Linked DNA regions of Oryctolagus cuniculus. The protein of the gene in region 7 purifies or fractionates together with the protein of the main gene of each other region. This does not show direct contact. Links are inferred from orthologs where the notes say so. Each region holds a gene or a part of one and is shown on either strand. Other genes may lie near its edges.

Region 1 (4,326 bases), on a different chromosome or scaffold from region 7:
CAGGGCCGATCTGGGCTGGCTGGGATTGGGATCCTGGAATTGTTTTCAGGCTGTTAGGGAGTTCGGCAATCATTTGTGCCTACCTCCTTGGTGGATGGATAGGAAAACCAAGACCCAGAGAGGGATGGACTGGCCCACGGTCACAGGGGTTGATGGGCTGCTGACCACCTCTGGAAAGCTGCGTGGCCTCCACAGCTGATGCTGGGTCCCCAGGGCTGTCCCGACCCCACTCAGCTCTAGAATCAGAGATACCCAGGTGCAGGCCCCCGGCTCCATCACCCCGCTCGGCCAGTGGCCTCAGGGCTGCCCCCAGGAAATACAGGGACCTCATTCAGCGCCTTAGGTCATCTCACGGCTCCCACAAACTGCCCTACTGCTCACAGAGGAGACTGAGGCCCAGAGAAGCAAAGCCCTGGCGCAGAGTCACACAGCCAGAAGCTGAAGGGACAGAGGGCTGGTCACTAACTGGTCATCTGATGCCCGAGCCTGGCTTTGTTTATCCACGGTGCCCACTGCCTCCCAGATGTAGAAGCAGCCTGGGGAGGGGACAGGAGCTCTGAGGTTGGCCCCACACGGATTTGAATGAGCCAGGGCCAGTGCTCTGTCTGCTGACTGTGAATGCACGGTGCTTTCCACCACCTGCCTCACATCTGGCGCCAGTTACAAGTCCCAGCTCTTCTCCCCACAGAGGAGGGAGGGCTGCCCGGTAACTTCTGTCTAAGAGCAGGAGAGCAGGGTGCTGGCCACACAGGCTCCTTCCTCTCTGCAGACCAAGCTAGGGCCCTGCAGAAGACAGCTGCACTCCCTCCATCCCGCCAGGGGCAGGCTCCGCACGCACGCCACTGCTCCCTGGCCAGGAGCGCTCTGGCAGCAGGAGGGTTAAGCCTTTGGCTTAAGACAGACTCTGGTCCCAGCACCAACCAGACTGACTTGCGTAGCCCTGGGAAAGCCACTCTGCCTCTCCCAGGCTTGGTTTCCTCATCTGCACAGTGGAGTAACAACAGGGATTTCAAAGCCTCGCTAAGAAGATTGCAGAGTGTGCCTGCCTGCCTGGGACTGGATGTCCCCGAATGGGTGAGACACAGGAGGACTCGATGACTGTGAAGCAGCTTGATGAAGGCCTTTGTGTGCTCTGGGGACGACAGAGGCAAGCAGAGCCATCCCTCGGTGCCCAGGGCTGGCGCAGGGGACAGAAGGCAAGACAGGGAAGCCTGGGGCCTGGACAGGCTCTGATGCGTAAGTGGCACACAAGCAAGAGGAGGGGGCCGAGCAGCAAGGCTGCCACACGAAGTGCATGGCAAGCACTTGCAAGACTGGAAGGAGCCAGGAGGGCTGCCTGGAAGAGACAGAGCAGGGAGGATCCCTGGAAGAAAAGTGATGAGGAAGGGCATTCCAGGCAGAGGACGCGAGGGCAAATGCCCACAGGCAGGCTGGTACAAATTCCTTCTCGGATTCTAGGATCTGCCTGGCAGGAACAAAAGGCCCGAGTCTGCAGCAATGAGGCAGGGGCGCTTACAACCTCTCCAAGACCTGCCCCCAACTCGCCTCACTGCACCCCCCACCGTGGAAAGCAGGGGAAAATAGCCGCCCAGTGCCTCTGGTGAGCACTGCAGCAGAGCCCGCTCACAAAGCACAGCCCTGGCATGCAGCAAACGCCAATCGGTGCAGCTGGGGCTCCTGCGGGCACTGGGGAGCCACCGGCAGCCTCCGGTTCCAGGATGGAGAGGAGAGGGGCACAGTCCAGCTGGAGGGAGGCGAAGAGGGGTCCTGAGAGCTGCCGCCTACGCCTGCGCCTGCAAAGGAGCCCCCAGATCTGACAGCCGGGCCTCAGTTCCCCAGCCCCAGCGGCCACGGGGGCCTCCCTCACCCTCAAAACTTTCCCAGCGGCTGGGGGTTTGGAAGGACATCTCAGGAATCTGGAAAATTTGCAAATCCATTTAAATCCCCAGAGGTTGCCTAGTGGCAGGCTGGCCCAGGGCCAGAGCCGATTCTTAGAAGCAGAGCTGGGCCGAGGGGCAGGGGCTGTGGCCCTGAGGTCCCCAGTGCCCCGCGAGGCCCCCTTTCTCTGCCCCCTGCATGCCATCCCCCAGTTCCCCTCACTCCTGCTCCTGCCAGCTATCCCCAGCCCCGCAGCCCGTACTGTGCCTCGGTGGTCCCCACATGGCCCCCACATGGCCCCCAGAAACTTCTGGGGGTGTTTGATGAGGGCAGGAGGCAGCAGGGCTCATGGGGGTAGGGGGCAATGGCAGAGGCCACCCATCCCAGAGCAGGAGAATGGAGAGAACTGGCTCCTCCAGTCCTGACATCACCCAGAGCCGCCCAGCCTCTTCCCATCTGGTTTTGTTAAAAATATTTCGCATTTTTTATTTTTTTTTTTACCTACCCAAAGAGGCACAGGCTGGGGTAAGGGGACAGGGCACTGGGACTGGGGTTCCCACCTCTCCCAGTTCTTACCTTGCTGCTGAGTGTTCTGGTGTGAGTACTGTCCCGGGCTCTGGACTGTCACCCCCTCCAGGAAGTCCTCCTTCTTGCCCTCTCCCCGTTATCACAAAGACTTCGCTGGACCCACAAGGGGCAGCAGCAGGGGTAGAAAGGCAAGAAGGGCCGTGGCAGACTCCTGGAGACTCAGGAGAACGGAGGGTCCGGGGGCTGCAGGGGAGGAGCGGCCCAGTTTCGCCTCACGCCCCAAGCATCCTTGGGGAGGAGCAGGGCCGCCAGGAGGGGCCGCCCTGGGTCTGGCTGGCTGAGCGGGCAGGGCACCGGCCAGGCAGGGCTCAGGGGCTCAGCCGTCTCCTCCCTGTTGATCTCCTCTCTGGCTCGCAGAACTGTCCCGGGTCCCAGAGAGGGCGGGCGGGGACTGCCGGCCCAGGCGGCCCCAGGAGCTCGCACCACTGTGGGCTTCCCTGCCCCCCCACTCTGGGGGAAAGGCTGCAGGGCGGCTTCTGATTGGCCCAGCCGGGGGAAGGGGGGTGCGGGCGGGCGGGAGGGTGGGCGCGTGCGTCTGTTTTCAATTTCAGGTTTTTTCCCTCTCTCTTTCTTTTCCCCGTTTCTTGTTTTTCTTCCTCCTTTCCCTCTGCTTTCTCCCTCCCGTCGCCTGCTCTCTCAGGATGTGAGGGGATGTTTAGAAATTCCGCAGCCCACGCCAGCCGCTGAGTCACTTTTATTAAAGAGTGGCCGGGCCTCACTCGCCTGCCGCCTGTATCTGGTGGCTGGTGGCAGTCTCCTCTTGCCATGGCACCTGGGGGAGAGGGAGAAATCACCCTGTGCCTCAGTTTCCCCAGCTGTCAAGAAAGCTCTGGTCATCTATAGGGCCGGTTGGGCCATCAGTCAGTTCTTCTGCAGGCATATTAAGCAACTGCTGTGTGCCAGCTGGGGTACTCAGGGCTGGGGACAGTGGCATAGCAGCCGCCTCTGATCGGGGGCCCTGGCTGAGCAGGAGGAGAGGCGGGGAGAGTGGACTCAGGGGTGGGGGTCGTCCAGCCTGAAGGCCATGTCAGGCAAGGCACGGAATCAGGCTGCCTGGCCCTACCAAGGCAGCCACAGGCAGGGCCTAAAATTCAATAAATCCATAGCAGGCTCATTTTTAAGCTGATCATTTTGTATGGCCTGGGAATCATACTATAAATACCTAAATGACCCTTGGCAGAAAAAAAGGCTCCCCACCCCCGAGAGGGACATGTGACCTAAGCTTGAGGGAACCAGGGAGCGCCTCTCAAGGATGGGACCCAGAAGGGAGGGAAGGACACCCCAAGATGCTCAGAGGGCAAATGCAAGGCTCGATGCGAACCGGCCAGGGAGGAAATACAATCTGCCCAAGGACACCCAGCACACCGCTTCAGATCTCAAGATACATGTTTTGGGTGCTCAAAGCCCCTAGAGGACAAGAAGAGGATTTGTCCCCATTTCACAGGCAAGGAAACAGAGGCCCGGAGAAGTGAGCTGCACTTCCTGGGCCCACAGGGCAGGGGCAGAGCTGGCAGAACCTGACTTCGGGAGACGCATGCCAGAGGAGACACGCCCGCCAGCACAGATGGCACCCCTGCCCTCCTTCTCCCCTGCCCTGGGGCACTTCCATTCCTCCCACCCGCCTTCCCCACAGGGGTCTGCCAAGGCCCAGGTCCCCGGCTGATGCTCTTCCTTGGACTGGAAGTCTCCAGCCCTCTGATGCCAATAAGACACTGCTTCAATTAAGGGGGCTTAGAGAGCAGAGCTGAGCACCCCTGCTCCCATGGCTGTGCATCTGGGGAAACTGAGTCCCGGAGGAGCAGAAAGGCACTGGGGCCGCACAGGACACGGGGGTCCTCCATACTGCCCCTGCCTCTCTGC
Region 2 (3,676 bases), on a different chromosome or scaffold from region 7:
GTGGCACCGACGTCCAGCCACACAGCAAGCTGTGCATTCCGGTGTGGGTCTGAGTCCACCAGGAAGGGGCCCGGTTGTCTAATTCACATCAAGGCACTGTGGGGGCCAGCAGCAGCAGCCAGGGAGCCCAGGAGACAGGACATCCCCTCAGCAATGTTCTGGGCTGTGAGCTTCCTGAGGGCAGGGGCCAGGACAGCCCTGTCTCTGCAGCTTCGACGCTGGGCACAGGGCAGGGGCGTCCTCGGAAGAACATGGTGAGGCTGAGTCCAGTTAAACTTGGCCATTGACCTTGTGCAGTCTAGGCTCAAAGGGCCAAGGACAGACAGGGCTCGGAGAGTGGCTGGCAGCTGGAGACATTTCAGTGAAATGCTGGGATGAACCAGAAGGGGTGGCAATGACGAAGAAGCTCGAGGCCAGCCTGATGAAGCTTCTGTATACCTACATCAGGGATGGGGGATGAGGGCTGCAGGGGACTGGTCACCCCACATGCTACAGGGCCTTGCCATTGGCCCCAGAGGAAGACGCTGGAGAGTACGCTTGCCGTGTGCCATCCAGCATGTATTCCATCAACTCTACGAGGGTCCTTCAACAAGTGATGGGAAAATGGAATTCAAAGGTTAAGTTTATTGGTGCAAAAAAAATATTGAGATCCATGCATAGTTTTTTTTTCATAATACACATTTTCCATGAACTTCTTGAAGACCCCTCGTACAGCTGCCCAGAGGAGGTGCAAACTGCCCAGCAAGCTCTGGTAGGGGCTGGGCCCCAGGACTGGCCATGGAGGGGCGCCACTGTCCCAAGATGACTTGGTTCTGACCCGGGTTGAATATGCACAAGATTCGGCAGGGGCAGAGGCCGAGCCTGGGAACTGAGCCATTTCGGGACAGCAGTGGTTGCAAAGCCCAGCTCCGGAGGCACCGGCCCTTAAAGGGTAAGGGTCCACCCTGCGGAGAAGCACGGTGGTCTCCCTTCTCACGCCAGGAGGGGATGGAGATGAAGGAGAGCAGATGCCGAGGGGCGTCCTTGTCCCGCTAGGCAACCTAGTCATGCGGTGGGCCTCGGGGTGTCCACATCTGCAGGGGACGCCCTATCACAAGCTGCCACCCAAGCCCAGCACACACAAGCCCCGCCCCTCCATAGGCCCCTCGGGCCCCAGGACAGAGCAGCTGATGCAGGCTGTGGCCTCACTGGACATCAGAGAAGCCCCCCACCCCACAGCGTGCGCTCCCCATGGGCCTGATGGCCTTCCCAGGCCTAGAGGCCAGGGGAGTGGTCACATGCTCTGGAGGCTCTGGCCACCTCTGAGGCCCAGCCAGGGGCTCTGACTGCTGCCCACAGCCAGGAGGGCCCTCTTGTGATCATCTGGTCAACTGCTTGGCTTTCCAGGTAGGAACTGAGGCCCAGAGAGGGGAAGGAACTCGCCGTGGGTCACACAGCACATTAGCATTGAATGCCAGATGAGAAAGATGTCTTGGAACACCTTCTTCTCCCTCACCACGTGGGGAGCAGCAGCCAGCAGGTGGCAACTGCTGGGCCCTCACGCTCGCCAAGGACAGAAGGGGTTCCTTGCTCCCCAGCAGCCTCCTCTTTGGGTGAGTGCCTCTCGGTGGGCACTGCCACCTTCTGGGAAGGAACCCCTGGTCCTCGGGCAGGGTGTCCTCAGGCACTTGCACCCGGGCTGCAGGGCCAGCCCAGCCCAGGCGGGAGGTCTGCAGGGGGAAGCAGGAGAACACGCTGGCAGCATCGGCGGCAGCGGGCTGGCGGGGTCGGGGCCAGCCGCCCCTGGACCTCCAGCCTTGCCTCCTGTGTGATCGCCTTAAATCCTCAGAGGCAGGAGCACAGGACAGACTTTAGTCTTCCCATCCCCACCTCCCAAAGCCTCCCTCCTTGGCCAGGGGTGGGTGTCTGCGAAAGAGCCCCTCCCCTTCCATGCACAAATACAGACAGGTGCACCACATCAAATACAGGCTAGCGACGCCGCCACGCCCCCCGCCAGGCTACAGTCCACTCGGCTAGCTCACACGGCCTGCCTTGGTCTAGAGAGGCTGCTGGTAGCGAAGTCAGACCAGTTGCTCTTCTCCACTCCTGGGGCCTAGGAACCTTCACCAAAGTCAAAGGGGCAGGGGGAAGAGCAGGGGAGGTCTTTGGCGCTCCAAACCGCACAAAGGCATGGCCAATCCATCAGGGGGGTCTGGCCTTGCAGCCAGGAGAGGGTGGCCTTCAAGGTGGCCGTCCTCTCGCTGCCAGAACTGCGCTAACCACCTGGGACTGTGCTCGTGGTCTCCCGCATCCGGGGCCCGCAAGCCCACCCCGTGTCCTCCTGCCCGCCCCCGCCGCCCCCTTCCTCTCCCCCATCTCCGGCCACCCCGAGGCCAGAGGCGGCCTTTCTGGGATGAGGAGCGGGCCAGGCGGAGAGCTGAGTGGGCAGAGGAGGTGAAGGGCGCACCGGGTCCGGTCGGCGTGGTGACGCAGGCCCTGTCGGCATGGTGACGCAGGCCCGGTTCTGAGGCCCAGGAAGACCACTGGGCCCCCCCAGGGAGAAAGTGGAAGAACAAGGGGGCGGGGCTTGGGGTGGGGACACCAGAACAGGAAGTAGACGAAGAAGCATCCTAGTGCCTGAGACCTGGAGCCGCCCCGGGAGGGCCGGCCCCAGCCTATCTGTGGTTGAGCCGCGGGGAGCCTGTAACGTCATCCTCTTCCTCCTTGTCGTCCTTCATGCCCTTCAGTCTCTGGCGGGCAAAGTCCTCAAACACAATGTCGTCATCACTGGGGGAGAGACGGGAAAAATGCGGCGTGTTTGCAGGGGCGTGAGAGCCAGCTGCTCTGGGTCCCTGGAACCTCTGGCCTCCGGGGCTGACCCTGGGCAGGAAGGCCAGCCTGGCTGGCCCATCTGGATGCCCACCGGTGGCAGTGGGGGTGGTCACACGTGGACTAGAGCGGCTGGGGGCAGGAAGCTAAGAGCCAGAAAAGCGACCCAGTTCTCGGGGGCCTGGCCACGTGCCTCAGTGCCCAGAGAAGAAAGGATCTCCAGGTCGGAGGCCAGGCCCCAGGAGTTTCACTCCTATTCTCAACCCCACCAAGACCCAAGAAACCCCACCCACCAAAAACCCGGCCAGGGGAGGCATGCCTGGCTCTGGCCCGGAAGAAGTGGGCTTGGCTTACTGCACGAGACAGCCTCAAAGGGCTTGCGGCAGGCTCACAGTCCATCCTGAGCCATCCAGAGCTGGCGCGGGGCGTGGGAGGGGGAGGCCTGACTGGGGCTGCAGGGCTAAAGGCCACATCTATGAAAGCAGGCTCTCTCCTACCCTAAAATCTGTCTACTCGGGACCCCACGGGAGCCACCAAAGCTCCCTGCCCCACATCCTGCCGCCAACATGTGGGGCATCCCGGTGGGGAGACTGGACACCCCACATGCCAGAATCCTCCTGGGGGACAGGAGCTGGAGGGAGAAAACCACCTGGGGGTGGTTCTCGCTGTCCGGGACCACATGGCACACCCCATGGGTCAGTCCTCCAGTCCCAGACCCTGGCCCGCCCCGCAGCCTGATTCCATTGGTGGGGTGGGGTGTGGGCGGGGCCCCGAGCCAGCCCTGTGTGAGACGAGCAGGCGCAGGCGCTGTGGACGGACGGACGGACGGACGGGTGGACGGACGTGCAAGGACAAGGAAGGAAGACAA
Region 3 (3,676 bases), on a different chromosome or scaffold from region 7:
CAGTTCTCTCACTGTGGACAGGCTCCCTGCATTTGTGCGCGATAAAAAATAAACCTAGCGAGCTGGCACTGTGGCGTAGCAGGTAAAGCTGCCGCCTGCGGAGCCGCCATCCCATATGGGTGCCGGTTCAAGTCCCGGATGTTCCACTTCCGATGCAGCTCCCAGCTATGGCCTGGGAAAACAGTAGAAGATGGCCCAAGTCCTTGGGCCCATACATCCACATGGGAGACCTGGAAGAAGCTCCTAGCTCTTGGCTTTGGATCAGTTCAGCTCTGGCTGTTGCAGCCATTCTGGGGGGTGAACCGGCAGATGGAAGACCCTCCCCCGCCTCTGCCTTTCAAATAAAAAAAAAAATTCTTAAAAAGAAAGAAAGAAGAAAGGTATTACCACTCAAGATTCAACTTAAAAAATTAAATAAATAAAATAAACCTAGCACCTTTAGCTTGTAACTCCTTGTCCCTGGCCGGCAAGGATGACGGGTGCCAGAGGCTCCTGCCTGAAGCCTTGGAACAGGTGTCCACTCTTGGTGCTCTCACAGTGCCTTGCCTGTCCCCACCAATGTATTTCTCACCTGGCCCCAAAACTGCCTGTTTATTTGCCTGCCCTCTGTCCCTCTGCCCCACGGGTGGCAGAAGAGACCGTGTCTTGCTCACTGTCATCTGCGGCACCTCATATGGGTCCCAGCGCCCAGGAGACACTTGCGTATTGAACAAGTGCAGTGTCAAAGGCATCGTGTCCCCTTGTTCTCACTGCAGACCCCCATCCATCCTTCTACACCAACTTAGGCATGGACGGGCCTTTCCAAAGCCAACCTGCCAGCCAGGGCAAGGCCCACCACAAGGTGGAGTCGGGGATCCTCAAGCCCAGAGCGGAGCAGGTGGACTCGCCCCTCACCTAGCCCAGTGCCCTCCTGTGGGGGAAGTAGGAGCCTGGGGTCCACACCATGCTCTCCCCACTGCACTGGGCGTCCCATGCACCCCAGACCAGCATGTTTCCTGGGCCAGGCGGCAAGATGATGCTTCACCTTGTGAGGTCGTTCCCCATGCGGTACGTGAGCGACCACTGCAGGGGGAAGAAGACCCTCCCTGGGTCTGCTGTGAGCTAGGCCCTCCCCGCCAGGCCAGACGTTTCTAGAATGCCTCACTGCCCACCAGGAAGTTCAGTTGTCTGCTCAGAGTCATGGTTAATTAAAAAAAAAAAATCCTCATTGCCTTTTCTGGTAGATCAAGCCATCACATGAAGGAACACAGATTTCGCCCTTCCTCCATGACCTTAATGAGAAACAGGAGAATTTAGAAAATCGAGTGGTGGCTTGGGGAGACCTGGCCTGGGGCTCAATGAACAGGCACAGGGCAGAAGCTGCAGAACAAGTCTTGGCGTCATGCTGTTCTTGCCTCAAAGTAACGGAAGGAGTGGCTGTCTTGAGCCTCCCCTGCCACCACCCCCCCCCCCCCCGTGAGAGTCAACTTACAGAAAGTGTGACTCACGGAGTGACGGTGTCACCATCTGTGTTCTTCCCCTCCCCTGCTCACACTGGCAGTGTCATCTCACAGTGACCCACAATACCCCGGGGCTGTGTGGCCAGAGGGGGCGTCCCGCCAGCCAGAGCCGGCCGAGAGTGTCACCTACTTCCTTTTCACAAAGCAGATGATGAGTCCGAGGGCCAACAGCAGGAAGGCGCCACCTACCACCGCTGCGCTGATGACGGTCGTGAGGTCTATGAGCAGAACACAGGACAGGTGGTCAGCCCGACGGTGAACCGGAGTCGTCTCCAGAGACAGCCCCCAGCAGCTCCAGTCCCCTCCCTTGCAATCTGCTGGCCGCCAGAAAGCAGCCATGGCAGTTCTGGGCCCACGCTCTAAGAGGAATGTCAGCCTGCACTTCCTTCTTCGGTGTAAGAAGTCTGTGCTGAGGCCACCATGCTGCGAGGAAGCCCAAGCTAGCCACGTGACGGCTTCATGGGGAGAGAACCCAGCCCAGCTTAAAGGGAGAACCAAGGTCCCTGTCGTAGGACTCCCCTCTACCATCCCAGCCTCCTCCAGCTGGTTCAAGGCATCTGGTTGGGGCCCCAGGTCACCCTGTGCAGATGAACCACCCTGCTGTGCCCTGTCCCGAGTCCTGACCCACAAACTGAGCAAAAACAAAACAATGTCTCAATCACTAAATCTTCGGGGTAGTTTGCATGCAAACTTAGACAAACTGGGGGACCTACCAGCCGTGCTCCCAAGGCCACTGCTGGCTGCATGGGGGTGTCCCTGGCCCCTCCAGCCTGTTGTGGGGAAGGACAGAGCAGAGAGAGCAGCAGAAAGCTGGGCGTCCAAAGGCAGACGCAAAGCAGTTGCGGCGAGCGCTGTCTTGCTCGTGCCAGCCTCCTACAGCTCTACACAGGGAACAGAAAACAGAGCAGAGCGGGAACCCCGCGCCAGACAGGCATTCAGAACTTCTTGGCTGTGCACTGAGAAAACGCAAAGTGTGATTCCAAGGAAACAGGAAGAGGAAGCAACGGCAGGAAATGAATATGAGAGAGGAGGCGGGGAGCTTCCCACCCGTGGCTTTGGCCCCTTCTCGGCCCCTCTGCCGCTAGCTGGGGTGTGGGCCCAGCAGGACACTCAGTTTCTCTGCCCATAGGAAGGGGAAGGGGCCGGGAGAAAACAGCCTCCACCCCTGTGGCTCCAACACCCTGTGCTCCGCAGCCATCACCGAACCAAGAGCAGACAAGGCCCTGGGGGCGCAGCTTCTCGGGCATCTCTTGGCCAGAGCTCACCTCGCATCTGGTAACTTGGCAAATGACAGGCAGCTCCCAGCCTGGCTCCTCAGCCTGACACCGAGGGCACTTCACCATCCCAGTGTTTCACGGGAGTGGATTAAAAACCCACCCCACTTTCCACCTCCCCACGTTTGCCTTATTTTTATTTTTAAATTGATTACTACAATTGAGAGAGAGTGAGAGAGAGAGAGGGACAGTGAGTCAGACCGTGAGAGATCTTCCATCCACTAGTTCACTCCCTAAATGCCCACAATGGCCAGGCTGCAGTGGGGAGCCCAGAACTCCATCCAGGTCTCCCACATGGGTGGCAGAGACCCAACTACTTTTTTTTTTTTTTAATTTTTTGCCAGGCAGAGTTAGACAGTGAGCGAGAGAGAGACAGAGAGTTATAGACAGTGAGAGACAGAGAGAAAAAGTCTTCCTTCAGTTGGTTCACTCCCCTAATGGCCACCATGGCCGGTGCTATGCCGATCCGAAGCCAGGAGCCAGGTACTTCCTCCCAGTCTCCCATGCAGGTACAGGGACCCAAGCACTTGGGCCATCCTCCACTGTTCTCCCGGGCCACAGCAGAGAGCTGGACTGGGAGAGGAGCAACCAGGACTCGTACCCAGTGCCCCAACTGGGACTAGAACCTGAGGTGCCAGTGCCGCAGGTGGAGGATTAGCCAAGTGAGCCATGGCACCGGCCTGAGACCCAACTACTTAAGCCATCCCCTACCACCCAGGGTCTGCATTAGCAGGAAGCTGGAATTGGGAGAGGAGCCAGAGGCCTGAACCAGGACACACTGACAGTGGATGTGGGCATTCCTGGCCACATCTTAACTGCTGGGTGAGAGGCCCGCCCCTGGTCCCCACATGTTCACGCCCAACACTGAACCCCCATGATCCTTTCAGGATGCGGTTGCTAGCG
Region 4 (3,676 bases), on a different chromosome or scaffold from region 7:
CGTGGACACAGAAGACAGTCCAGGGTCAGCCACAGCAGGTAACTCCATTGAGTCTCACTCAAAATGCTGGACACCTCGCGTGCTTTCTAAGCCAACCCGAGGATGTCGGAAAGACTGCCAGGAAGTGGGGCATGGGGGTTGCATCCTGACGGTGCCCAGAGAGCAAGAGCACACACATGCGCTTGGGGGACTTGGGCAGAATCTTGGAAGTGTCTGTCTCATCTTGGGATAACGTGATTGCTTTGTTCTGAATGCCGAAGGAGCAGGGGTTCTGACCGGCTGCTAAAACAACCCATCCTGCCCGGGGGGGGGGGGGGGAGGCTTTACAGAGAGCTGCCGCTCACAGCCCTGGCGGGAGGCGATGGTGAGAAACGGTGCAGCGCCGGCCCTCTGAGCTCCGGGTAGGAGCAAACGCTTCCTTGCAAGTCTCCACCTCCACCACCCAGGACGCGCGCCTACTCAGCAGCCTCCGGAGCCAGAATCTGCTTCTTGGGTGTCACTCGGTTCTTTCCTCCTTGGATCTAGGTTGCTTCCCCATGCACGACCCCAGACCTCATCTTTGGAGAAAGCAACCCACCCCCATCTCACATAGCACTTGGTTACGGGATCACTAACAGGGTAGGGAATAACCCATTGGCCAAGGTTTTCATTTTCTTTCTCCGGGGATCTTTTTTAATGTAAAGTTTCTAATTCAGACAATCATTGTTGGATATTTACCTTTATTTTCGTTTACTGGCTTCATGGCATGGTTTGCAACATCATCCTTGTAACCTGGTAGCAGGAGAACAATGCATTAGGCTGAGTGGCAGCGGAAATCCTAGTCTTCTATACATTGTAAAGAATTCATGGCTTTCCCAGGGGCTTCCTGCCGCGCGTCCGGCCTCGCCCTTTTCTCTGCCTGACCTCCCCCACGGTGGCTGGCGTGTGCTCTTGGGAAGAGCCTGTGCCAGGCGGCTCTGCCGATCCCTGCCTGGCTGAAGGTGACATTAGGAACCAGGAAGGAGCAGATGCATGAACTGGCCCAGGAAGGCCTCACACATCAGTGCGATCATGAGGGAATCACTCGGCCTTGTGCCAGCGCACTCAGCGACTGTGGACGCGATTCTGAGTCCCCGGGACCGCCCCTGCCCTTCCTGACGATAGCTGCCATGGAAGGAAGGGGCGTGGGCTTTGAAAGGCCTGCATCCACATCAGGGTGCCTGCTTGCAATCCCAGCTCTGCTCCCCATCCCAGCTTCCTGCTGCTGCTGACTGCGAGGCGGTGGTGATGGCTCAAGCAACTGGGTCCCTGCCAACCACATGGGAGACCTGGATTGAGATCCTGGTTCCTGGATTTGACCCAACCTAGCCCTGGCTGTTGCAGCATTTAGGGAATGCATCAATGGATAGAAGATCTCTGTGTGTCTGTCTCAGATAAACAGAACTAAAATATTAAAGAAAGAAAAATAGCCCGAATCTGGGCTGGGACTGGTGTTTTTGTGTGATGTAGTGAGGCCACCTCTGAGAGGCTAGTCATGTGGCCTTGGTCCTACATCTGGTGGGGTCAGGAACTCCTGGACTGGCCGCCCACCCTGCTGAGCACAACCCCACCTGTGGTGAGCCTCGTAACCAGGTATTTCTTCACTGGAGAGCTCATCTGATGCCTGTGCTAAGTGCAATCTTTAACTGGTTGCCCTTGGTGGTGAATCGAAGTAGCTCTCCCTTATCCATGGCGGGTGTCTCAAGATACTCAGTGCTGCCTGACAACACAGCTGGCACCAAACCCTTTTCCACCTTAACTGAGTGCTTGTCCCACACTTGCAGTCTGAGGTGTGACAGCAAATCCAGAGTTCCTTTTGCTTCACCATGGCGTCGCAGGTAGAAGGCTCACCCTCACTTAGCAACCTCAGCACGCGACTGCTTTTTCTCTCTCTAAGTTGGAAGCTTTCCGCGTTGCCCTCAGAGGGAGCGCTTTACGGCATCTCTGTGGCACGTCTGATCGCGACGCTTCCACTCTGGGGCTGGTGTTCAGTAAAGGAAAGGCTGTTGAACACGAGTCTTGCAGTGTCTGTGACGGTCAACCCCATGACCCAGAGAGCTAATAGGTGACTAATGGGCACGTAGAGTGGACAGTGAGATATGCTGGATGAAGAATGATGTGTTTTCTGGAACTTTCCACTCAATACTTTAGGACTCTAGTTGACCATGGGTATCTGAAACCACAGAATATGAAACTGCAAATACGGAGGAACCCGTCTTATGCTCGTGGGAAGCCCAGCCGTGAAGATATTTTGCCAGGGGCTGGTGTGGTGGTACAGTAGGTTCAGCTGCCAGCATCCCTTATCAGAGCACGGGTTCAAGTCCCGGCTGCTCTGCTTCAGCTGCAGCTATCCGCCAGTGCACTGGGAAGGCAGCAGAAGACGGCCCAAGTGGGACACCCAGACGGAGTTTCAGACAACTGGCTCAGACTTGGCTGCTGCAGCCATTCGGGGAATGAACCTCAGATGGAAGATCTCTCTCATTGTCTCTCTCTGTGTCACTTTGCCTTTCAAATAAATAAATCTCTTTTAAACTAAGATGTTTTGCCAATGCTTTAATCTGATGTCTGATCTCCTTCTACAAATGGAAATGGATTACACTTGAGCAATAGTTAAAAGCTTTGAAGGAATGAAGACCCCACAGTCATTCTCCATGCTTCATCCTACAGGCGGCTTAGAAGGTGGGAAATTAGAATACATTTCTCTGCCTTTCCTGCCAAGTGTTTGTTGTATTAGCTCCCCATCCAATGACTGACAAGATCAAGTAGACCTCCTTGAAGCTGGGGCTTCCCTCCCAACTTTATCCCCACCCCTACAGCTTCTGCCTCTAAAGCAAAGGCAGTGTGTGGCAAGTTGGAAAACACCCTTAGCTAGGAAGGAAACCACGGTGTTACCATAATGACTGTTGGCTTCAATGTTGGGATCTGACACGGTCTCGCTGTTGGAGTTCAGAAGTGGTGCTGCTGGCCTTAAGATGAAGGTTAGAAAGGAAAACAGATGTCATAGATACGTAAAATACATAGATTTGGATCTAACCCCAAACCGACAAAATACCCAAGTGAAGACCAAGGGTAAATTAGGAAGAGTTTTCCACAGTGAGAGACACTTTACTATCTCACTTGGAAAACTAACATCTTTATTTATTCTTTTTACAAATACCCGGAATCCTTCCCCAGGCCCCGCCCCACCCCAAACCCTCAAACTGTTACTGCTTCCCACAAGAACAGAGCAACCATCTCCATACTTTTGAATTTTAGATTTTTATCAATAAGAGAGTGTAACCATTTCATATAGGCCAACTCTATGGTGCCAAGTAAGCACATTTTTAAATTTCCATCTGCTATCCTTATAATTTCCTAAGGAAAAAAGGCATCTCACAAGTAATAGTGTTGGAAGAGCATGATCTGAGAACAAAGGCATTCCTTCCCATGAAGTCAGGGATCTTCCACTGGGACACATACACACACTCACACACTCTCACACTCTCACACACACTCACACTAACACTACTCCCACACACTCTCACATGCATTCACACTCACACAAACACACTCACACACACTCTCACACGCATTCACATTCACACACACTCACACACTCACACTACTCCCACACACTCACATGCATTCACACTCACACACTCACATGCATTCACACTCA
Region 5 (4,417 bases), on a different chromosome or scaffold from region 7:
GAAGACCCTAACAAAACAGAAAGGGAAACCCCACTGCCTCCCTCAGACTCAGCAGGGACCCCAGACCAGGACCGTCCCTGCCGAGCCCGAGAAGCAGAGCGCGCCCTGGACTCGCAGGGGCTGTGCCCTGCGCTGCCCCCTCCCACTTCCTCCCTGGCAGTCTTTTATACACCCGGCAGCCCCTTGAAGCCGGTTGCTAGGGCAAACGCCCCTTCTCTTGTCCTAGGTCCACCCTCGCTAACCCCCCTCCCACCATGGGAATGGCTTCTGGCCGCTCCAGGAACCACCCAGGCTCTTCCCCAGGGGCCTTCCCGCGGGGGGCACTGAACGGGGAGGTTGTGGTTCCCTAAGACCTCACTGTCTTTCCATCTGGTCTCCAGCTCCACGGAGAGCTCGGCCTTGGCCTTTGTCCCGCCAAACAGTTCCTACCAGAGGCACTACCCAAGGCTGACCCCGCTCCCTGAACTACCGACCGGCCCTGTCTCTGGCCTCAACAGCTTCAGGTCCTATTTGTCTTTCAAGGCAAGCAGACGCAGTCCAGGCCCCAGACCCTCCAGTCTCAGGGTTCCTGTCACATCTTGTTTATGTTTCGCTTGCGGTGTGATAGCACCCAGAGCAGTTAGCGGTGCCTCCTCTGCCTCCCTCCTCGCCCTGCGAAGCCTCAGAGGCCTCGTTCACCTCGGCACACCCGGCGCGGCAGCCACCGCACGCTGCAGAGGGTGATTGTGGCTAACGTTTTCTGCGTGACTGTGCCGTGCTTGGCACCGTTCCAAGTGCGTGATCGCAGTTAGTACTCAACAGCCCAGTGGTGGGCCCCCAAGAGCCCTATTGTACGGGTTGGGGAAACTGAGGCAGGGAGCGGTCAACTACTTCGTCTAAGGTCACAGAGTAAAACAGAAGTCCGACACAAACTGAGGCAGGCTGGCTGTGGGTCTCAGCTCCCAACAGCTACACGGTTACACTGTCTATCTCTGTAGTGAGCACTGACAGTTTGTTGAGCCGAAGGGCATTTTTCTTCCCAGCTGCTGAAACTATCTAAGCCTCATCAGACTCTGGAAGGGGAGGGACGTGTCTGGCGACCCCTGCTCTGGCCACGTGTGGGCCTGTCCTTGGAAGCACCATCTAACTCCTTCTAGTCCATTCTGCTCGGCAGTGCCCGCTGGAAAGGGTCCCAGAGAGGAGAAACTGAAGGGCTGCCGCCTGGCCCTTCCCTCCTTCCCCTCCAGCACCCCGGTGTCTGCTCCAGGAACTCCACTTGCCCCTTCTCCCCAGTGCAAGCTGTCCAAAGGTCATATGGCAAAGGGCTTAGCAGCCCCTGAAGTTCCCCAGTCACTAAGCTGTCAATGAGGGGGCAGCCAGCATGAGCACCCTACCTTCTGCCCATCCTGGGTTGGGAGGGGGGGCTGACTGCTCTGGCATCATCCAGGCTCTCCCTCCCCTTTGCTTCTGGGTCCCCTCCTTGCCCCAGCGTTTCTACCCAGCAGGGGCGCTAATCAGTTGGCCAAGAGGAGTGTGGCTCTGGGGCAATTACCCTGGAGCACCTGCCCTTTGGATCCTAACCTGGCCCCCTCCTGCCAGGGCAGGGAGGAGCAGCGTGTGCGTGCTCAGGCCGCCCAGGGAGACAGTGTGGGGATGAGCAGGGAGGTGCCCGGTCAGGGTGGGGGGCAGTGAAGCAGATGCCCCTTCGCGCTTCCTGCTATTCTCTCCATTTCCTGTGGCCCAGAATTTGATGGGGGTGGAGGGAATTATGCCAAGTCAGCAGCCCTCCTTTGGCCCATCCGTCCCCCACTCCCTAAACCACATAACGGAAACTGGGGGCCTCCTCCAAGTCAGTGACTTCTCCCTTCTCTGAGGGTGCTTAGCCCCTAATCCAGGACACCCATCTTCCCTTGCTGCGCTGACCTCTCCCTGATAGTGGTCTACTCTACGCTCAGAAGCCGAAGCCTGGGTTCTCCTACTCAATGGGTGGGGTTGATGGGATCTTGTTTTGCAGTTCTAGTGACAGCTCAGGACCACTCATGAGCCCCTCCTGGTTGAGACAAACAGCCCCAACCTTTTCTTTTGCTCCTGCTCCCCTGGGGCCCCGGCATTCACTCCCTGCCCCCTTGGGGGTGTTGGGTCACAACAGGAAGTGGATTTTGGTAGAGACCAAAAAAGAGAACTCGGGGTGTCCGTGGAAGGAAGGAGCCTCAATTGCACAGAAAACATCCGGGGAGTGGATGCGTGGCTCGGGGCAGACCCTTCTCCCCCGCGCCCTGGGAAGGGACGCGGCGCCCAGCCTCGGGGAGGGTCGCCACGCACTCTGCTCCCTCAAGATGAAGCTGTTGCTCCTGGCAACCCACGGGAAGGCAGAAGTTTGGAAGCGGAGCCGCCCGGTCCTTGGGACAGGTGGGGGCAGCCCTTCTGCTGTAGGGTACTGGGCAGGTTTCCCTCGGGCTCCGCACGAGTCTAGAGGGGGAATCCCCTTCCCAGCATCCAGCCTCCTGGGACGCGACCCTTTGGGACCGGCCACCTGCTCCTGCTTCCTCCTACATCGCAGCCCGCACGCGAGAACCCCTACATCCCTGCGAGGACCCCCGAGGCCGGTTTCTGGTACCCTTCAGGCCTTGCTCTCTGCAAGGGCCCGTGCATGCGCCCCCACTCACCCCAGTACCCTCGAGGACCTAAGCGTGGGGCCCCGATGGCTGCCCCCTGGGGACCCAGGCGTCCAGCCCCCAGCTTTCCCTCCCCGGTGTCCTTGTTTGGAGACTATCTCGGCACCAGCCCCGAGCCGCAGCCACCCATATCCCGCCGCGCGGCCCCACCTCCCTTACCTGGTCCCCGGTTTCTCCCCCATGGTGCGCGCGCCCGCCGCCCGCCCGGTTCGGGGCTGGCTCGCAAGCCTTCTCGCCCGCTGCTAGGTCCTGCTCCTCCCCGCGCCACTGCGCACGCGCGTCCTCCGCTCTGTCTCCTCTTCCCCCTCCCCTGCGGGCCCCTCCTCCGGGCCTGGGGAACCGGGGCCAGATGCGTCAGCCGGATCGCGCGCGCCGGGCGCTCCCGCCCTCTCCTCACAGACTCGCGCGGTGATTGGCTCCGCCTCCACCCTCTGCGCTCCAGTCCCCAGGGGAGCCCTTCCCCCCGTGCGCGCGGTCCCTTCTCCCGCTTCTCCCGCCCATCTCCCCGCCCTTCCGCAGATCCCTGCAAGCGGATTGGGCCGCTCCAACGAGGCGCCCGCCCTTCAGGAGATTGCAGCCCTCGGATTGGCTCCTGGCATCCACAACCCAGTAGGGGTCTCCTCCCCTTTGTTTGCTTTCTCGGTGGAGATGGGGGCTGCCGGGGTGGTGGGGGCGGTGGAATGAACTCAAACAGTCTGGGCTGGAGGGTGAGGGGATGCACACGTGGGTGAGCCGTTCCAGTTGCATGATGCCTGCTAGGGTGCGCGCCGCTCCTCGGCTCATCCCAGAGCTTGCGGTTTCCTTAGGCCCGCCCTCCGGCTTTGTTGCGGTGTCTCAGCTCCCCCTGGTGTCTGTCTTGGATTTGTGCAGGGTTTCTAATGTCAACGTCTCCACCCGCCGGTCCCCGCTAACATCTATCCATCCATCATCCATCCATCCATCATCCATCCGTGCCCCCACACCCCGGCCCCATTTTGTGCCAGACGCTGAGCAGAGCCCTGGAGACACGCATGAGTGATCGCGGCCCCTGGCGTTCTGGTCCAGTCGAGGAACACGTGGACAGGTGTCATGAGTCCAGGAATGCTATAATAGAGGGCTGACTCAGAAGACAGAGCAGCTCACTGCGCTCGGCAGGCTGCCCAGAGGAAGGGAAATGTGAGGACGCCAATTCCGAAGAACGGGCACACGTTGAGCAAGGGCGTTCTGAAGGGAAAGCTAGGCGAGGCGAGGCGAGGCGAGGCGAGGCGAGGCGGGCACATCCTGTCCCGCAGGCAGAGGGGAAGACTGGGGCGGCGGGCCCGCCCCGCAGGAGGACACGTGGAACCCGGGCCGGTTTTTTAAAGCCGTGGAGTGTCACGATGAGAGTTCTGTTTTTGGAGATTAATCCTGGGCATTGCGGAGGGTAGGAGATGGCTGAGAGCGGGTGGGAGAAGAGGGGCCGGACTGGAGGATCATTTCTGGGGCTGTCACATTGGACCTCAGGGAGGATGATGGATGATTGACATTTCTGGGCTTAGGACTCTAAGGGATTTTTTTTTTTTTTTTTTGACAGAGTGGACAGTGAGAGAGAGAGAGAGACAGAGAGAGACAGAGAGAGAGAGAAAGGTCTTGCTTTACCATTGGTTCACCCCCACAGTGGCCGCAGCAGCGGCCGGCGCACGGCGCTGATCTGAAGCCAGGAAACAGGTGCTTCTCCTGGTCTCCCATGGGGTGCAGGACCAAACACTTGGGCCATCCTCCACTGCCCTCCCTGGCCACAGCAG
Region 6 (3,676 bases), on a different chromosome or scaffold from region 7:
CTTGACGAAGTATTTTAATACAACACCTTCCCCTTCTCGGGCTCGCAAAATCAGGATCACCTTCTAACAGACGGACGCATGAAATGGGGCGAGCGTTTCGCTTTTCTCCAACGAGCTATTCGGAAGTGAGAGGCTCTGCTAGAAGTCGGTGGTGTTTCCTAGCCTCCTTCATACACTAGCATACTAGCATCGTATCATACAGTCATGTTCCCAGTACGCCACCCGTACAAGGGGACTTCAAAAAGCTCACGGAAAATGGAATTAAAAGATCAATTTATTTTGGTGCACAAGTTTTTGAAATCCATGCATAGCGGTTTTTTTTTGTAATACTCATTTCCATGAACTTTTGGAAGACCCCTTCTATCACTGCACTATTCTCCCATGAGAGAGAGAGAGAGAGAGAGAGAGAGAGAGAGAGAGATTTGAATTAAAGGACTTCAAGCTTACTTTGTTTTTGCCTTCAATCAGGGCAAACTGATTTTTGCTGCCTTCAATTCTATTGCCTCCCTGGAAATCCTCCACGTTTCTCCATTCTTTGCAAGTGTATGGGTTTGTCATTAAGGCCGACTGGCTGTAAGAAAGAGCGAACAGATCACTTAGGATTTTGGCTTTCCCTTTTCATAGAAGTCTATTATTTTTTAGCTGTAATATTTAACAATGTTGTTAACGTTTCACCACACTCCCTTCCTGGGTAGACATTATATACTTACACCTATAGGCTACCTTTCTCTTGAAAACAGAGGAATTAATATTGTAAAGTGAGGGGCCGTAGGACTGATCGAAACGTAGAAAAAGAACGGTCCGTCGTCACGTATGTGGTAGGATTCGGTCCCCAGATCAATAGCAAGGAGAGGACTCCGACCCGGGGCCCTGTGTTCCTAGAAACAGCTGTCAGGGCAGCCACACTGCGAGATGTGGCGCCAATTAAAAATAGGCCTGGACAGAGGGGGGACGGTTCGAGGCGGACCCACTCAGGATACAGGAGGGAAGCAGCTATTTTGGGAACAGCCTCCATTCATAAACGTGACGACAGACATTCACGTTGGTTCAGTTCAAAGGAAGGCAGGGAAACTGCGAAGCCACTGGATTTGTGAAACTCATTCCCCGGCCAGCGGCTGTGGAAGAAGCTCCTCGTGGCCATGGCGAAAACAACAACAGGAAGTAGCCGCGAGGGGCTGATGGGCTGCTTGTTGTCCTGTCCTGTCCCCTGAGGATGTCCGCACTTGTGTGAGAACTTGATAAACCAGGCCCGAGGCTGCACCCACCGGAAGGCAACAGCGCACTGGCCCCCGATTGGGCGGAGAGAAAGCCAAGATGGAAAATCATCCAATTGAGCGAAGCACCTGCTATTGGAGAAGTGTGCCCCAGGCCGCCCCAAGAAGAGACAGCCAGCTTGTCCCAGAGTGGGACCCCCGAGCAAGCCAAGACAGCTCTGACACAAAACCCCAGGAAGCGGGAGGAGACCTCGCCCCCCTACACACACAGGGGTCGCTGTCTTGGTTTAGAAGGCGGTGACAAGGAGCTGCACGGCCCCAGGCCCACTCACCTGGCCTGCTCCGAGCACTCCTCCTCCAGCTGCCAATACCAGCGGATGTGGTGCGGGGGAGGCACGGCGTACACGGTGCAGGTCAGCGTCTGCGAGCTGCCATACTGGTAGGAGTCCACGGGCGAGATCAGAGACTTCTCCCCAATCTGCGGCGGCACTGGAGGCGGGACAGTGAATCCGTGAACTGTCAGTCAGCTCAGGGGGTCGCACAGGAGAGGCGTTCCCGACCAAAGGAGAGCTTTGCATTGTTTTGTTTTGTGTTTAACGTTTTTACGCTGCGATTAGCCTGCACTACAGGAACAGTGTGCTATGTAAGACGTGCCTACACTGCAAGCTGATCGCCTCCAGGCACTTGGCACTTCCGTTTCCTTTTCATTTCTCCCTGTGTGCAGCCTGCCCTCTTCCAGGGCTGCCGGCACTGCACACTGAGGTGCCGTGAGCTACAGTCACCCCTCCAGGCCTGGGGCGCTCTGCCGCTTAACGCCATCTATGCTTCTGGGCCCACTTTGGACTTCAAAGGACAGCTGGGACAGGACAGCTGAGGTCCCGTGATACCCATCCTAAGAAGCAGACAGGGGCCGGCGCTGTGGTGTAGCAGGTAAAGCCACCGCCTGCAGTGCCAGCATCGCACTATGTCCTTCTGGTCGACCAGAAGGCTCAGGTGGTACTTCCATTACCCCCCTTCTCCCATGCAGCAGGGCAAATGCTAAGTGAATCAGATGTGCGCTGACTTCATGAATGGATGAAATGGGGGCGATTCCCTGCCCGTGCCTCCGTCTTTATTTCTTGTATGCTGCCTCAGCTTTCCGGCCACTGCCTCTTCTCCAAGCCCCGCGCCCTCACTGCACACGAGCACCTGTTCAGAACACGCGATCTTTAAACCCATCCCTGCAAAAAGGAGGGACGCCACGCTCAGTGCCATGAGAACGGCACACACATGAGCATTTTGAAGACCCCAAGAAGTTCTGCAATTACAAAAAGTATTTCACACCATCAGGGCAGCTTCCCCACGAGTGTGACCATTGGACCCTTCCTTCCCCATCCCAAACATTTCGTTAGCCCTTTGAGTGTGGGACAACAAGTCGTCCTGAAATTAAAAACTTACTGTCGTCCCTCCAGCTCAGAGTCAGATGCTGTACTCCCGTCCAGAACAGTAAAAGTTCCAACCAAGCCAACGCCCTCTGAGCTGGGACCTGCCCATGCCCCCCCTGAAACGCCAAGTGCAGCCTTGAACTTCAAGAAGAGCCTCGGACATCTGTGCACCAGGCGCGCAGCTCCACGAGACGGGAGCGCGGGTCCCGCGGCCCAGGCTGACCACTGTCCCTGGGGGCGTTCTTGGCCACCGAGCCAACCATCTGCTTTAATCTTGCATTTGGCCACCAAACAGCTCACGGACAGGGCCTCTTGAGCCAAAACACGGCTGCAGGGTAGCACACAGTCCCACATCTCATTGCAAGTCTGCTGCCCCAGCCAGTTTTGTACACGAGCTCTGTCATGATATGGGTGACGGAGCAGGACACAAAGCCTTGGTGGCTTAGTGGCACAGGAAGACAAAACCACGCCCCTCAAGTCAGTCTGGGAGAACAGAGCAGACTCACCATTCACAACCAGAGACACCACGTGGCTCTGCTTCTCCCTGGTGATGGGGTTGGTGAGGATGACGGTGTAGTTTCCCGTGTCTTTCTCACTCGCCTCCGAGATGGTCAGTACGTGCCCCACTTTAATCGTGTGATTGGACTCCAGGAGTCTTCCATTTTTATACCTATGATTCCAAAAAAGCAAAAAAACCCGGGAATGAGTGTCATGGAAGCATCTGCCTTCTTGTGAAACAACACTCTTTATTTCATCCCAGTAGTTACCATTTGATTTCAGGCGGTGGGTAGCCCAGCCACCTCACGGGGACTCGGATGCGCGCTCCCACCGCGGCCTCCACCAAGGACTCCATGCCACTCCCAAAAGCAACAAAAGGCTTCTCTGGAAGAAAACAAAAGTCGTTATTCTCATAGGTGTCAACTTTCGGAGAGTGGCTGTTGGGCTTGGTTATCGTTGTTATTGTTATTCTTTCTTATTTCATGGGAAAAGCCAGAGGCCCTGTGAGTGAGCAGGTGTGGCTCTGGGATTCCCCACCCT
Region 7 (3,676 bases):
TGACAAGCTGCTGGGCCTCAGTTTCCCTCTCTGCACTATGGGGGCATCCTCGGGGCTGTGGGGAAGTCAAGGAGACCACAGAGCAGAGGGCCTGGCACAGCGGGCACTCCATGAAGGTTTTCTGGGAGTCTGGGAACGGCCCCCGCGGTTATGCGCCCCTCGCTCCCAGGTTTGCCCTTGGGGACACAGTCCACGCCCGGCCCCTTCTGCAGACAGGTCAGGCCCAGGCAGGAGACCACGTGCTGTGTGTGGCCAGACGGTGGCCCTCCTGGTGCCCAGCCTGGCTGGCAGCCCATGCTACCCTTGCCCAGGAGATGCCTGGCCGGTGTTGGGGGCAGCACTGGGTCCTGGGGGCAGAGGCCTTCTCTGGGGCCTGGCAGGCAGTTCCCGGCCACCGAACTCCCAGGGACGCACTCAGGCAGGTAACACCCGCGGTGCCAACACAGCATGCGGCTACCCCCGGTCGCTCGGTGAGTCAGGACCGAGCCGGGCCTTGAACCGCCTCCTGAGTGTCTTGTGACTTTCTGCAGGTGGCCTGGGCCAAGGGCAGGCAGGAGCAGAGGCCCGAGGCTGCAGCTGGCAGTGACCGCCACAGGTGTGTGCACACGCACATGCACACACACACAGGTGCACACACCTGCTGGCACACCCACACCCAGCAGCCACACACTCCCCAGGCCCCCAAGCGTGAGGACGAACCCACAGTCCCAACCTCCACATGTGCACACACACACACATAGGCACACACCTGCACAGGGGTGCCCACGTGTACAAAGCCGCCTGAGGGCTCAAACGCACACACCTGGCCTGGATGCTCTGCCTCCCTCCTCCCCTCCCAAGGAGGGGCGGGGCCAGGACTGGCCAGGGAAGGCCGAGGCCGGCTCCCAGCACTCACTGCAGCCCCAGAGGCCCCTGGGGAAGGGGAAGAGAGGGCCCCCTGCATCCGCACCCATTCTGGGAACAAACCTGTGCTGTGACACTTGGACCTCATGACAACCTGGGCCCGTCCTCATCTGATGAAACTGAGGCCACGGAAGTCTCGTCTCTCCTCTTGCTGCACCCCGTCTCCCACCGCTGACTTAGACACGCGCCTGCCTGACTTCTGTCCTGCCGTTTCATCCTCTTCCTTCTCTACCCCCAAACTCCTATTCATTCTGCAACACCCAGCCCCAAGAACCCACAAAAGACTCAGCCTCTGCTGGCCAGCAGGAATGCTGCTACCTTTCGTGGTCTCACTCTCGCGCACCAGGAAGGTCCCTCTTGGGTTTTCTGCATTGAGCAGTAACCGCTCCGACTCCCGCCTGGTAATCTTGCCGAAGTACCACCTGGGGAGGGAGGGACGAGCGGTGAGCAGTCCAGTTTCCGCCAGCCCTGGACCCCTCAACCTCGCCCAGCAGTCCAGGAGCAGTGGTGAGCAGACGCCCAGGAAGATACTCACTCCTCGGCCTGGATGGAGTCGGAGGGCGCCACGTAGTTGCTGGGGATGTAGCCGGTCTGTCCCGTGCTGAGCGAGTGGGCCAGCCACCAGTCTCCCTCCCTGCACAGGGGAGAGCACGGAGCCAAGGGAGCCGTCAGCAGCCAGCCCAGGGCCGCTGGCTTCCTGCAGTGAGCGAGGCTGGGACCAGGGGAGCTCTCGCATTGCCCCATGGAGCTGGCCTGCAGCCCCCCTCCCAGGCCAGAAGGCAGCCAGGGTCTCCGTGCACGGAGCAGAGGCCAGGCCTTTCAGAAGGGCGCTCCTGGTCCTCGGGGGCAGGCAACACTGGAATGGGAGAGAAGACTCCCGCCCAAGAGGAACGTCAGGTTCCACCCTCCGAGTCTCCCCCAGCCCTGAGGTTCAGAAGCCAGACGCCAGGAGCTGGGGAGACCTGGGTGGAGGCCAAGGGGCACCCTTAGGGGCAACCCAGGCCCCAGCCTGCAGAGCAGAGCAGTGCTTGCCTGTCACAAACCATGGCTCACGCCTACAGGGTCCTCAGCCGCAAACTACAGGCCCCTCCTGCAGCCTACCCATCTGCCACGGGAAACTGAGGCCAGAGGGGGCAGCGACTTGCCCAAAGTCACACAGCGATCTCGTCAGAGGGGTCGAGGTGGCGCAGCCCACTGCCCAGGCCCCTTCTGTACTAACTGCCCCAGGAGGAGGAGGAAGAGGAGGAGAGGAGGAGAGGAGGAGAGGAGGAGAGGAGGACGGGGACAGGGGCAGGAGGAGCCCTGGGACCTGGGGAGGGGGTAGGGGCGGAAGTACCTTTGCAGCCATCTGAATGTGAACCAGGTCTGGCTGGAGCGGGGGTCCAGAGACACAGAGGAGGGAGGAGAAAGCGAGAGCCCGACGGGAGAGAAGAGGCAGAGATGGGGGTGGTGAGCGGCAACGAGTGGCAGAGAGAGCGAGGGAGGGGGCAGAAGAGCCAGGCGGGGCTGGGGACAGAGACGGGGCAGCCACAGAGGCCTCGCATCCAAAGCAACCCACAGGGCGGGGCTGGGAGGTCGATGGGCAGGGCAGCCCGGGGACTAGGGTTCAGCCCCCATCCTATTCCCACTGTACAGATGGGAAGACTGAGGCCAGGGAAGCAAAGCACTCTGCTCAAGGTCACACAGCCAGCCCCAAAGGAGGAGGACCCCTCCCTACTGGGTGAGGAAGGACCTGACAGTCTGCTGAGCTCTCGTCAGTACAAGGCTGTCTTGGACGTCACCTTGGCCCTGAATGACGCCGGCAGGATGCGCCCACCGCCACCGCCACACAGAAATACAGAGGCCCCTCGCCTGCAGTCACACGGTCTCCACTCGAACCAGGACCCTTACTCCCAGCTTCTCTGAGCTGCCCCTGGCCATACTCTTCGGCCCGTGTTAAAGATGCAGAAGTTGCGGCCAATGCAGTGGGGGAGGGATAGGGCATTTGATGCACTAGTAAAGATACCACTTTGGGATGTCCACATCTCGTATCAAAGTGCCCAGGTTCAAGTCCCAGCTCCACTTCCGAGTCCTGCTTCCTGATAATGCACCATTGTGGGTGGCAGCAGCTGATGGCTCAGGTGGCCGGGCCCCTGCTACCCACAGGCGAGACCCAGATGGAGCTCCCAGCTCCCCGCTACCCACAGGCGAGACCCGGATGGAGCTCCCGGCCCCCCGCTACCCACAGGCGAGACCCGGATGGAGCTCCCGGCCCCCCGCTACCCACGGGCGAGACCCGGATGGAGCTCCCGGCCCCCCGCTACCCACGGGCGAGACCCGGATGGAGCTCCCGGCCCCCCCGCTACCCACAGGCGAGACCCGGATGGAGCTCCCGGCCCCCCGCTACCCACAGGCGAGACCCGGATGGAGCTCCCGGCACCCCCGCTACCCACAGGCGAGACCCGGATGGAGCTCCCGGCCCCCCGCTACCCACAGGCGAGACCCGGATGGAGCTCCCAGCCCCTGGCTTCGGCTCAGCCCAGTTCTAGCTGTTGTGGGCATTTGGGGAGTGAACTAGCAGATGGAGGATTTCTGTCTCTACCTTTCAAACAAATAAAAATGATAAAATTTTTTAGAAAGACAGTACCAGGCTGGAGGACTCTCTGAGGACTCATGAAGGGGCAGTGAGCACCCCAGGCCCCGGGAAGCCCCGTGTGTGGAGCAGGGTGTAGGGGCCTGGCCTGGCTGGGGCTGGGCAGCCTTGCATAGCTGTGTGACAGCTGCTTGCACACTC

Evidence for each region.
Region 1: the proteins of SRC (region 7) and PDGFRB purify together in Homo sapiens (affinity purification with western blotting; 4 studies listed by BioGRID and IntAct, with this or other methods). This does not show direct contact. The link is inferred for Oryctolagus cuniculus from reciprocal best matches to the Homo sapiens genes SRC and PDGFRB.
Region 2: the proteins of SRC (region 7) and ARRB1 purify together in Homo sapiens (affinity purification with western blotting; 3 studies listed by BioGRID and IntAct, with this or other methods). This does not show direct contact. The link is inferred for Oryctolagus cuniculus from reciprocal best matches to the Homo sapiens genes SRC and ARRB1.
Region 3: the proteins of SRC (region 7) and CDCP1 purify together in Homo sapiens (co-immunoprecipitation; 4 studies listed by BioGRID and IntAct, with this or other methods). This does not show direct contact. The link is inferred for Oryctolagus cuniculus from reciprocal best matches to the Homo sapiens genes SRC and CDCP1.
Region 4: the proteins of SRC (region 7) and PECAM1 purify together in Homo sapiens (affinity purification with western blotting; 3 studies listed by BioGRID and IntAct, with this or other methods). This does not show direct contact. The link is inferred for Oryctolagus cuniculus from reciprocal best matches to the Homo sapiens genes SRC and PECAM1.
Region 5: the proteins of SRC (region 7) and ARRB2 purify together in Homo sapiens (affinity purification with western blotting; 4 studies listed by BioGRID and IntAct, with this or other methods). This does not show direct contact. The link is inferred for Oryctolagus cuniculus from reciprocal best matches to the Homo sapiens genes SRC and ARRB2.
Region 6: the proteins of SRC (region 7) and KDR purify together in Homo sapiens (co-immunoprecipitation; 5 studies listed by BioGRID and IntAct, with this or other methods). This does not show direct contact. The link is inferred for Oryctolagus cuniculus from reciprocal best matches to the Homo sapiens genes SRC and KDR.

The regions. Positions count from the first base shown.
Region 1 is NC_091437.1:37,460,011-37,464,336, forward strand, and holds the start of PDGFRB (platelet-derived growth factor receptor beta), read right to left. Parts: upstream 2,900-4,326; 5' UTR 2,455-2,899; intron 1-2,454. UniProt on the Homo sapiens protein: Tyrosine-protein kinase that acts as a cell-surface receptor for homodimeric PDGFB and PDGFD and for heterodimers formed by PDGFA and PDGFB, and plays an essential role in the regulation of embryonic development, cell proliferation, survival, differentiation, chemotaxis and migration.
Region 2 is NC_091432.1:66,407,557-66,411,232, forward strand, and holds part of ARRB1 (beta-arrestin-1), read right to left. Parts: exon of another isoform or gene 2,788-3,676; intron 2,767-2,787; coding exon 2,655-2,766; 3' UTR 1-2,654. UniProt on the Homo sapiens protein: Functions in regulating agonist-mediated G-protein coupled receptor (GPCR) signaling by mediating both receptor desensitization and resensitization processes.
Region 3 is NC_091441.1:102,844,730-102,848,405, forward strand, and holds part of CDCP1 (CUB domain-containing protein 1), read right to left. Parts: intron 1,718-3,676; coding exon 1,630-1,717; intron 1,272-1,629; coding exon 1,212-1,271; intron 381-1,211; exon of another isoform or gene 1-380. UniProt on the Homo sapiens protein: May be involved in cell adhesion and cell matrix association. May play a role in the regulation of anchorage versus migration or proliferation versus differentiation via its phosphorylation.
Region 4 is NC_091448.1:14,342,259-14,345,934, reverse strand, and holds part of PECAM1 (platelet endothelial cell adhesion molecule), read right to left. Parts: intron 2,985-3,676; coding exon 2,911-2,984; intron 772-2,910; coding exon 718-771; intron 1-717. UniProt on the Homo sapiens protein: Cell adhesion molecule which is required for leukocyte transendothelial migration (TEM) under most inflammatory conditions.
Region 5 is NC_091448.1:51,504,495-51,508,911, forward strand, and holds the start of ARRB2 (beta-arrestin-2), read right to left. Parts: upstream 2,971-4,417; 5' UTR 2,837-2,970; coding exon 2,814-2,836; intron 8-2,813; coding exon 1-7. UniProt on the Homo sapiens protein: Functions in regulating agonist-mediated G-protein coupled receptor (GPCR) signaling by mediating both receptor desensitization and resensitization processes.
Region 6 is NC_091439.1:109,289,077-109,292,752, reverse strand, and holds part of KDR (vascular endothelial growth factor receptor 2 precursor), read right to left. Parts: intron 3,521-3,676; coding exon 3,406-3,520; intron 3,309-3,405; coding exon 3,145-3,308; intron 1,704-3,144; coding exon 1,547-1,703; intron 572-1,546; coding exon 448-571; intron 1-447. UniProt on the Homo sapiens protein: Tyrosine-protein kinase that acts as a cell-surface receptor for VEGFA, VEGFC and VEGFD. Plays an essential role in the regulation of angiogenesis, vascular development, vascular permeability, and embryonic hematopoiesis.
Region 7 is NC_091442.1:21,177,219-21,180,894, forward strand, and holds part of SRC (proto-oncogene tyrosine-protein kinase Src), read right to left. Parts: intron 2,273-3,676; coding exon 2,240-2,272; intron 1,538-2,239; coding exon 1,439-1,537; intron 1,326-1,438; coding exon 1,222-1,325; intron 1-1,221. UniProt on the Homo sapiens protein: Non-receptor protein tyrosine kinase which is activated following engagement of many different classes of cellular receptors including immune response receptors, integrins and other adhesion receptors, receptor protein tyrosine kinases, G protein-coupled receptors as well as cytokine receptors.